Saccharomyces cerevisiae S288C: one gene and its partners. The gene in region 1 interacts genetically with each later gene. Each region holds a gene or a part of one and is shown in the gene's direction. Other genes may lie near its edges.

Evidence for each region.
Region 2: mutations in CPR3 (region 1) and UBP12 together harm fitness less than expected from each alone (positive genetic interaction), as found in Saccharomyces cerevisiae (one large-scale study listed by BioGRID).
Region 3: mutations in CPR3 (region 1) and DCK1 together harm fitness less than expected from each alone (positive genetic interaction), as found in Saccharomyces cerevisiae (one large-scale study listed by BioGRID).

What each region holds. Positions count from the first base shown.
Region 1 is NC_001145.3:109,171-112,050, forward strand, and holds CPR3 (peptidylprolyl isomerase CPR3), read left to right. Parts: upstream 1-1,831; coding exon 1,832-2,380; downstream 2,381-2,880. Other genes in the region: DUS1 (tRNA dihydrouridine synthase), read left to right, coding at 1-907; CFF1 (Cff1p), read left to right, coding at 1,077-1,682; TRAPP subunit BET5, read left to right, coding at 2,695-2,880. UniProt on the Saccharomyces cerevisiae protein: PPIases accelerate the folding of proteins. It catalyzes the cis-trans isomerization of proline imidic peptide bonds in oligopeptides. This isozyme is required for growth on lactate at high temperature.
Region 2 is NC_001142.9:61,999-65,757, forward strand, and holds the start of UBP12 (putative ubiquitin-specific protease UBP12), read left to right. Parts: upstream 1-1,806; coding exon 1,807-3,759. Other genes in the region: PHO90 (SPX domain-containing inorganic phosphate transporter), read left to right, coding at 1-1,491. UniProt on the Saccharomyces cerevisiae protein: Ubiquitin carboxyl-terminal hydrolase that recognizes ubiquitin chains that stabilize FZO1 and promote mitochondrial fusion. UBP12 deubiquitylates FZO1 only after oligomerization.
Region 3 is NC_001144.5:963,932-967,690, forward strand, and holds the start of DCK1 (guanine nucleotide exchange factor DCK1), read left to right. Parts: upstream 1-1,965; coding exon 1,966-3,759. Other genes in the region: URA4 (dihydroorotase), read left to right, coding at 1-948; proteasome regulatory particle lid subunit RPN13, read right to left, coding at 1,159-1,629. UniProt on the Saccharomyces cerevisiae protein: Forms a transiant heterodimeric complex with LMO1, that acts as a guanine nucleotide exchange factor exchange factor (GEF) for the small GTPase RHO5. DCK1, LMO1 and RHO5 relocate to mitochondria upon oxidative stress and trigger cell death.

The sequences.
Region 1 (2,880 bases):
TCAAGGCATAGCTAAGAAAGGTCACTATGGGTCATTTTTGATGGAAGAATGGGACCTTATACACAATTTAATCAACACCTTGCACAAAAATTTGAAAGTTCCAGTTACAGCAAAAATACGTATATTTGACGACTGTGAAAAGAGTTTGAATTACGCCAAGATGGTGCTGGATGCTGGAGCTCAATTTTTAACCGTCCATGGGAGAGTAAGAGAGCAAAAAGGACAAAAAACTGGTTTAGCTAACTGGGAAACAATCAAATACCTAAGAGATAATTTACCTAAAGAAACCGTGTTTTTTGCTAACGGGAATATCTTATATCCTGAAGATATTTCACGTTGTATGGAACATATCGGTGCTGACGCAGTGATGAGTGCTGAGGGGAACTTATACAATCCTGGTGTTTTCAATGTAGGCCAAACTAAGAACAAGGAGAAGATATTTCCACGCGTAGATAAGATTATCAGAGAGTATTTCCAGATTGTCAAAGAATGCCAGGAATCTAAAGCCTCCAAGACAGCAATGAAATCACATTTTTTTAAGATTTTAAGGCCTTTCTTGCCGCATCATACTGATATTAGGTCAACACTTGCTACTATGAATGCAAAAGCCACGTGGGAAGAATGGGAGGAACAAGTAGTGAAGCCTGTCGAAAAAGTAGTGCAAGAAATATTTGAACAGCCAGATATCGCTATTAAGGATGAAATTACTATCGGCGAAAAGCAATCATGGGGTGGTTCATATAGAACTGTTCCATACTGGAGATGTCAACCATATTTTAGGCCTGTTAACGGTATCACAGGTGATAAAAGAGTTATGCAAGGCCTCATAGATGAAAGCGTGAACAAGAAACGTAAAGCTGACGTGCCATTAGAATCTGCTGATAAAAAGAAGGACGTGAAAGCTTAAAACCTGATAAAATCCATGTATATTTCTTTGCCTTTTCTATTCTTTTCTCTAAGTATAGTTTTTATGTATGTATATTAATTCAAACAGAAAATGTTCAACTCCGTCTCCATAAGAAAACTTCTTTCAATTTGAACACTTGTATATTCAATCAGAATTCGCCATAGAGAGCATGTCAGCCAATGTACAAGAAGCTGCAAATGCAGCTATAGAGCCGGCCAGTTTCGTTAAAGTCCCAATGCCTGAGCCACCAAGTAGTTTGCAACAATTGATCAATGATTGGCAATTAATCAAGCATAGAGAAGGTGGGTATTTTAAGGAAACAGATAGGTCTCCCTACACCATGGAAGTAGAAAAACCAGTAAATGGAGGCTCAGGTAATACTGAAATGGTAACAAGAAATCAATCTACGTTGATCTATTATCTACTAACCCCCGACAGCCCAATTGGGAAATTTCATAAGAATATTAACAGGATCATACATATCTTACAAAGAGGCAAGGGTCAATACGTTCTAGTATATCCTGATGGTCAAGTGAAGTCATTTAAAGTTGGTTTTGACTATAAGAATGGAGAAGTCTCGCAATGGGTTGTCCCCGGAGGTGTGTTTAAGGCAAGTTTCCTTCTGCCAAACGAAGAATTTGACAACGGTTTCTTGATTAGTGAAGTAGTGGTACCAGGTTTTGACTTTGAGGACCATACCTTCTTGAAGGGTGAAGATGAACTGAAACATCTTGTGGGACCTGAAAAGGCAGCTGAGTTAGCTTTTTTAGCTTGAACTTTTGTACTTAGTTATTATCAAAATAACCAATAAGAATTATTTTAGTCCTTTCGCACCGCGATTATTAATAAACTCAATATTTTTTTCCTATTTAATTCCATAAAGAAACAAAAAAAAAAGCAAGCAACTACAAAGGTCTACTTACCATGTTTAAACGTTCCATCATTCAACAGTCCCGCTTATTCTCCAATTCTGCTTCTAGACTAGGTAAAAAAGTGTTCTTTGATCCTGCGGTCAATGGAACCAAAATCGGCAGAATAGAATTTGAATTATATGATAATGTGGTTCCTAAAACTGCTGAAAATTTCAGAGCCTTATGTACCGGCGAAAAGGGCTGGGGCTATAAAGGTGTCCCTTTCCACAGAATCATCCCAGACTTCATGATCCAAGGTGGTGACACTGATTTGACTAACGGTTTTGGGGGCAAATCCATTTACGGTTCCAAGTTCGCTGACGAAAATTTTGTCAAAAAGCATGACAAGGCAGGTTTGTTATCTATGGCAAATGCTGGACCAAACACTAACGGTTCTCAATTCTTCATTACCACTGTGCCTTGTCCATGGTTGGATGGAAAACACGTTGTCTTTGGTGAGGTAACCAAAGGTATGGACATTGTCAAAGCAATCGAATCATACGGTACTGCTTCTGGTAAACCAAGAGCTGAAATCGTTATCGAAGAAGCTGGTGAGTTATGAAGGCTTATATGAAGCTAAGGTCTCTCATATTTCTAGCATATAAGGTATGCGTTATCTCTATGTCTACGAATTATATCTGTTTATAGTGTTTTATTTTATATAGACTCGCTGGCTCATAAAAAATCAACCAACTTTTATTCTGGTTTGCCTCAGTCGAAATGTTGTCCTTTACTATTGACTAGTGTTGAAGAATTTCCGGATCTTATATTTTCGACAATTGAGTTCCAACATACATTACAGAAAAAATACAAAAAAAAAATACAGAACTATCGTAAGATAATCTGCTTTTGATATAAATCATAAATCAGTGGAGCATGGGGATATATTCATTTTGGATCTTTGATAGGCATTGTAACTGTATATTTGATAGAGAATGGACATTGGCGTCCAATAGCGCAAGTGGTACAATAAACTCCAAACAGAATGAAGAAGATGCAAAACTTCTGTATGGTATGATATTTTCGTTACGCTCCATTACACAAAAGCTCTCCAAAGGGTCT
Region 2 (3,759 bases), on another chromosome or scaffold:
AGATGGCCACTACCCAGACCGATAAACTTAAAATTCACTAGTATAAACAACGTTGCACTACCGAAATTATTTTTCACCAAGAAAGCATACAAGATTTACTTTATTATTCTAGTCACTGGACTCTTGTTAGGAATAAAGACCTTCAACGACGCTGCTCAGCACCGCTGCATGGCCCTTGTCGAGTGTGTCGCCTTTTTGTGGGCTAGTGAGGCCATCCCATTACACATTACAGCATTCCTTGTACCACTACTTGTAGTCCTTTTCAAAGTCCTAAAAACCTCCGACGGGGCTATAATGAGTGCTGCAAGCGCTTCATCAGAAATTTTGGCCGCCATGTGGTCTTCTACAATTATGATTCTGCTGGCAGGTTTTACTTTGGGTGAAGTACTTGCACAATATAACATCGCCAAAGTTCTTGCCTCGTGGTTGTTGGCCTTCGCTGGTTGTAAACCCAGAAACGTTCTTTTAATGGCAATGTGTGTCGTGTTCTTCCTATCAATGTGGATTTCCAATGTCGCAGCACCTGTTCTAACATATTCGTTGTTATCTCCCCTATTGGATGCCATGGATGCAGATAGCCCATTTGCGCAAGCATTGGTGTTAGGTGTAGCGTTGGCTGCAAATATCGGTGGTATGTCTTCACCAATCTCTTCACCTCAAAACATCATTTCCATGTCGTACTTGAAACCCTATGGTATTGGCTGGGGCCAATTCTTTGCTGTTGCATTGCCATCTGGTATCCTGGCCATGCTTTTGGTTTGGATTTTATTGTTCACTACTTTCAAGATGAATAAGACCAAATTGGAAAAATTTAAGCCTATTAAGACGAAATTCACAGTTAAGCAGTATTATATCATTACTGTCACTGTGGCCACTATTTTGTTGTGGTGTGTGGAAAGCCAGATTGAAGGTGCTTTTGGGTCATCAGGTCAAATTGCAATCATTCCCATCGTTTTGTTTTTTGGTACCGGATTACTATCAACACAAGATTTAAATGCCTTTCCGTGGTCAATCGTTATTTTGGCAATGGGAGGTATTGCTTTGGGGAAGGCCGTCTCATCCTCGGGTTTGCTATCAACCATTGCAAAAGCATTACAAAAGAAAATTGAGAATGATGGTGTTTTTGCCATTCTATGTATTTTCGGTATCCTGATGTTGGTTGTGGGTACTTTCGTCTCGCATACAGTATCCGCTATTATCATCATTCCCTTGGTGCAAGAAGTTGGTGACAAGCTTGGCAACCCCAAAGCTGCTCCTATCCTTGTTTTCGGTTGTGCATTATTGTCATCCTGTGGTATGGGACTAGCTTCTTCGGGGTTCCCCAATGTCACTGCCATCTCTAAAGTAGATAGAAAGGGCGATCGCTATTTAAGTGTCATGACTTTCTTAACGAGAGGTGTTCCAGCTTCTATTTTGGCTTTCCTATGTGTCATTACTCTAGGTTATGGTATCATGGCATCTGTTGTCAAGGGTAACGCAACCTCTGCGTAAGAGATACGTCTACGATAGCATGTAACAGCGTATATATAATCTATATGTATTCGATTAATCCAACACTTCTGTTGTGTAGTCTAATGTTCGAAAAAAAGGTACGCTTCCCTGTTATAATCAGGTATATTTCGTTATTCTTATAAGCTAAAAGATTAAAAATTTTTCCACTTTCCTTGAAATTTGGTCGGTTCGTGGAAAAATATTATTACGTATTGAAGAAGTGCATGAAGATAAAAGATGGGATTACTGGAAAAATAAAGGGAGGAAAATCCTGCAGAACGTTGTTGTTTCAATCGAAGGTTTCTTCATTCGAAAATGGGTTCTTCAGATGTTTCAAGTCGTGAATGTTCATTGGTTTATAATGAAGATCCCGATTTCACCGATGGCACAACACCATGTGATCGGTTGGGAGTGGACTTGATGAATGTTCTAGATGACAAGGATGAAATAAAGCAAGAGTCTGTCCCAGTCTCAGATCGTGAAATTGAGGATACGGAATCCGATGCTTCCGCTGTTTCTTCATTTGCTAGCGCTAATGAGTTAATAGCTGAGCCACACGCTGCAAGTGAAACTAATCTTGGAACTAATGGTCAAGATGGAAGAAATGTCTTAGAACAACAAAGAGACGTGGTTGCTAGACTAATAGAAGAAAACAAGGAAACGCAAAAAGAGGGTGATAAAGTCTGTATTGTCCCCAAGGTTTGGTACGATAAATTTTTCGACCCCGATGTTACCGATCCTGAAGATATAGGCCCTATTAATACACGCATGATTTGCAGAGACTTTGAAAATTTTGTGCTTGAGGATTACAATAGATGTCCGTATCTGTCTATTGCAGAGCCTGTTTTCAATTTTCTATCAGAAATTTACGGCATGACAAGTGGCTCTTACCCAGTGGTAACTAATTTGGTTATCAACCAAACCACAGGGGAGTTAGAGACAGAATACAATAAATGGTTTTTCAGACTACATTACCTGACCGAAAAACAAGACGGGAGGAAAAGGAGGCATGGCCAGGACGATTCAATAATGTACCTCTCGATGTCTGCGTTGAATTTAGTACGTGATTTGGTTGAAAAGAGTATGAATCTGTTTTTTGAGAAAGCTGATCATCTAGACGTGAATGCGGTGGATTTTAAAATTTGGTTTGTGTCAGAGGGATCTGATATTGCCACAGATAGCAATGTTAGTACTTTTTTGAATTCTTCATATGAAATAACTCCGCTTCAATTTCTCGAACTACCGATAAAGAAACTACTAATACCAGACATGTTTGAAAACCGTTTAGACAAGATAACTTCAAATCCGAGTGACCTTGTCATAGAAATTAAACCTATAGAAGGGAATCACCATTGGCCTTCAAACTATTTTGCTTATAATAAACTCGAACCAGCATCAGGTACTACTGGTTTGGTCAATTTGGGAAATACATGTTACATGAATTCTGCGTTGCAATGCCTGGTACACATTCCGCAGTTGCGTGATTATTTCCTTTATGATGGTTATGAAGACGAAATCAATGAAGAAAATCCTCTTGGGTACCACGGCTATGTGGCTAGGGCATTTAGTGACTTGGTTCAGAAGTTGTTTCAAAACAGGATGAGCATAATGCAAAGAAATGCTGCTTTCCCCCCTTCAATGTTCAAATCCACTATCGGGCACTTTAATTCGATGTTTTCTGGTTATATGCAACAGGATTCTCAAGAATTTTTAGCCTTCCTGTTAGACAGTTTACATGAAGATTTGAACAGGATAATAAAGAAAGAATACACAGAAAAACCATCATTATCTCCTGGTGATGACGTGAATGATTGGAATGTAGTCAAGAAACTGGCAGACGATACTTGGGAGATGCATTTAAAGAGAAATTGTTCCGTTATAACGGATTTATTTGTCGGGATGTACAAATCAACGCTATATTGTCCCGAATGTCAAAATGTTTCTATAACGTTTGACCCGTATAATGATGTTACATTGCCGCTTCCGGTTGATACAGTGTGGGATAAAACTATAAAAATTTTTCCCATGAACTCTCCACCACTTCTTCTTGAAGTTGAGTTAAGCAAATCGTCCACTTATATGGACTTGAAGAATTATGTTGGTAAAATGTCGGGCCTAGATCCAAATACACTATTTGGCTGTGAGATTTTCAGTAATCAAATCTATGTTAACTATGAGTCAACAGAGTCGAATGCTCAATTTTTAACCTTGCAGGAATTGATCAAACCTGCTGATGACGTTATTTTTTATGAATTACCAGTAACAAAT
Region 3 (3,759 bases), on another chromosome or scaffold:
ACACTAGATAGAGTGATTGAATACAAAAAGACACTGCAGAAACTAGCTCCTAAAACTACCTTCTTAATGAGTTTTTATCTTTCAAAAGACTTAACTCCAGATTTAATTCATGAAGCTGCCCAACAACATGCCATTCGTGGAGTAAAGTGTTATCCAGCGGGAGTAACAACAAATTCGGCTGCTGGGGTGGATCCAAATGACTTCAGCGCATTTTACCCAATTTTCAAGGCTATGCAAGAAGAGAACCTGGTATTAAATTTGCATGGGGAAAAACCTTCTGTCCATGATGGAGACAAAGAACCTATTCATGTATTGAATGCAGAGGAAGCCTTTTTGCCAGCCTTGAAAAAATTGCATAATGATTTCCCAAACCTGAAAATAATTCTGGAACACTGCACTAGCGAGTCGGCAATAAAGACAATCGAGGATATAAATAAGAACGTGAAGAAAGCCACTGACGTAAAGGTTGCTGCCACATTAACGGCTCATCACTTATTTTTAACAATTGATGATTGGGCCGGAAATCCGGTAAATTTTTGCAAACCTGTTGCGAAACTTCCAAATGACAAAAAGGCTCTAGTCAAAGCTGCTGTATCAGGGAAACCATATTTTTTCTTTGGATCTGATTCAGCACCTCATCCTGTACAAAATAAGGCCAATTACGAGGGTGTTTGCGCAGGAGTTTACTCACAATCTTTTGCGATCCCTTATATCGCCCAAGTTTTTGAAGAGCAAAATGCCTTGGAGAACTTAAAGGGCTTTGTTTCCGACTTCGGAATTTCCTTTTATGAGGTTAAAGATAGCGAAGTGGCTTCTTCAGATAAGGCAATATTATTCAAAAAAGAACAAGTTATCCCTCAGGTTATCAGCGATGGCAAAGACATAAGCATCATCCCATTTAAAGCAGGTGATAAACTAAGTTGGTCGGTGAGATGGGAACCTCGTTAATATGCAACAATATGTAGGCTCATTTGAGAGTATAGACCATATATACATATTTATGGGAAAAATAAACTTACCTTCCAATAGAAGTTATAGATGCCATCATCATGCCTATTGTTATGGTCCGTATCTCTTTACAGAAGTTCACAGCCAAATGCGTTGATATGGTATATTTTTTCTCTTCAGTTTTTTATCAAAAAATGCCACAACCTTGATTTAATCTTGCATACTAACATCCACATCTTGAGCTTTTTGCTTTTCGTCATTGCTTTCTTCCTCATCACTTTCACTACTATTATTCAGCACTCCAATCATCTTATTGTAAATTTCTTTATCTTTCGCACTCAATTCATTTAAGGGCAAATTACCTGAGTTCTTCTCTTGCAGCCAAAAGAAGTACCTTTCGTTGGATGAAAAAACTAAAGCAAATATTCTGCCACTTTTACTGGATTTTATTGGAACCCACATGGTCTCTCCAGGAATTAAAATCAAAGAAATAGGATCAAGTTCCCTCCCGACCGGCTTTTCCGTTGGACGCCACTCGAAATCCCAAAATCCCAATTCTTCCTCTTCATTTGGTTTGATCTCGATTTCACCCTGAACTGGAATTGGCGTACATAGACGTGAATCTTCGTTGTATTCACAAACACCAGCCCTGAATTTAATTACAGTTGAACTCATACTCATCAACACTCTTTTAAAATTTATAAGTCAACCAGCACTTAGGTAGTTTTCTGGCACCCTTATAGAACCTAATCTACTGGTCATAGTAGAGTATTTAGTAGCAAAGCTTTCGCCACCTCGCGAATAATATATCACGAAATACGGAGGAATTTTAACTGAAATATATCAATAACGCATATCAAGGAGGGGATGACTTGATGAGTTGAAAATAATATAAATGGTTCAAGCAACCGTTTGTACACCACTCAGTCAATTATTGCTTCAATTGAAATTATAGAGGACCGAAGATTAGTCATATAAAACAGGGGTCTTTTTTTCTTTAGGGAGATTACTATTACAATGTCGCAACAGGATTCACAGCGCTGGCTGCCCACGGATCGGCTAATATATGGTGTGCTAGTCAAATCTTTCCTTCCCTTACAAAGGTATCCTGAGCTGGTATATGAAAACAGCAATTATGCGAACGTTTATGTGGGTGCAGAAGTTTACGTCTTCGAAGAATCTGTGGATAAGAAATGGTGTAGAGCGTACCAATGTTTACGACCCTTTCCTGAAGAATTCATATCGAATATGAACTCGGCGAATGATGTACTGCCAGACGTGAAACCGAAAGTAGTGATATTTCCTAGAAAATATGTTCATTTTGAAGCAGAAAAAGCCGTCAGCACAATGCCATTTTTCAAAGCACCTAGTGCTGAGGATTTTAAACCATTGATAAGTAAAGAATGTGAGTCCCGCTCCTTTTGTGACAGCCTATATGTTAGCTCTACTGATGATATATCAACTGGTAAACCAAGAAAGACACCGAGACCTCCGTTCCCCTTTTTCAGATACCAAAAGAGGTCCTTTAAGGACGAAATGGGTCCTATATTATCTCTTATTTCCTCGCATGTTTACTCTATGTATTCAATTGGCGAGTTTTCTATATATAGGAAAATGATAAAACTTTATTATGATTTGGACACTATACGATTTAGATTGTCTATGAATTTAACCACAGAGGCTGAGAAAATAAATCTGATAAGAGCAGCAACATCCCTAAGAACTAAAATCGCAAAATTTTTGTCCTCCACATACAGGAAGAATAAACTAATTGCTAACTCTACTCCAAGAAACCCAGATCCTTATGGTTTCGAAGGAATTTTTGCCAGGGATATTGATACTGGCGAATTGCTCTCATACGAGATCGACAAATTAAGAACTTTAGTGTCATCGTCAATGCTTTGTGGTTTAACTAATAATTTTCCTACTGTACCTGTGGTAGAGTCCGATGATGAGTCCTCATCTAACGGACTATTCGGCACAGTTAGATCGAGCATTTTGGTTAACTTGAAAGATCTGGCATGGGATCCCTCTATATCAGATCCTAAATATCAAGATCTTTCTATTTGTGTATACTTGAGAACCAAAGACGAAGTTTTAACAGAGTCTTTTACCATGACGAAGTCGTCCAATATGGAATCAGCTCTAGATGAAATTCCTGCAATGTTATTCAAGAATATTTTGGAAACGATAGTCCATAAAAATAAAGTATACTTAGTAGTAGTGCTGAAGGAAACAATAGCAATTACAACAGAAACTGCTCCGGAAATTTCATCTTACAATATATCTACCGAAGAGTCAAGTTCACATTCCCCATTTTCTCCATTTAATTCATCGACTGAGAATAAGATTGACCACGTAAAAAAGGGCTTAGCTGCCGGAGTTATTAACATATCTCCGGTATTCAAGTTTTATAACGGCCTATCAGTTGCGAATAAAGCTCAGAGGTTTAACCTTTATCTTTATAGCTCCGATTCCTCGGATTCGCAAAACTTCAACTCTTCAAAGGATGCGGATTTAGGTTGGGGCGGGTTAATAAATAAGATAATAAAAGATTCTTCTGAAGGCGTTTCTGTGAACCCTAGGGCTGTTTCTTTATCGGTAACTGTAAAGGAAATTATAGGCAAACAAGAGGCGGAAAAAGTGCTCTCCACATCTTTAGTACCGATAAGATCTATTCCCACATACTTTTATGATACCATGTTTAGCCAAGCAGAAAGAATTTATCTGAACTTAGGTAGGGTGTCGCTTTATGGACTTCCTGCAGCTGATACAAATATAGAAAATGTTACCGTTCAAATATCCTGCAGG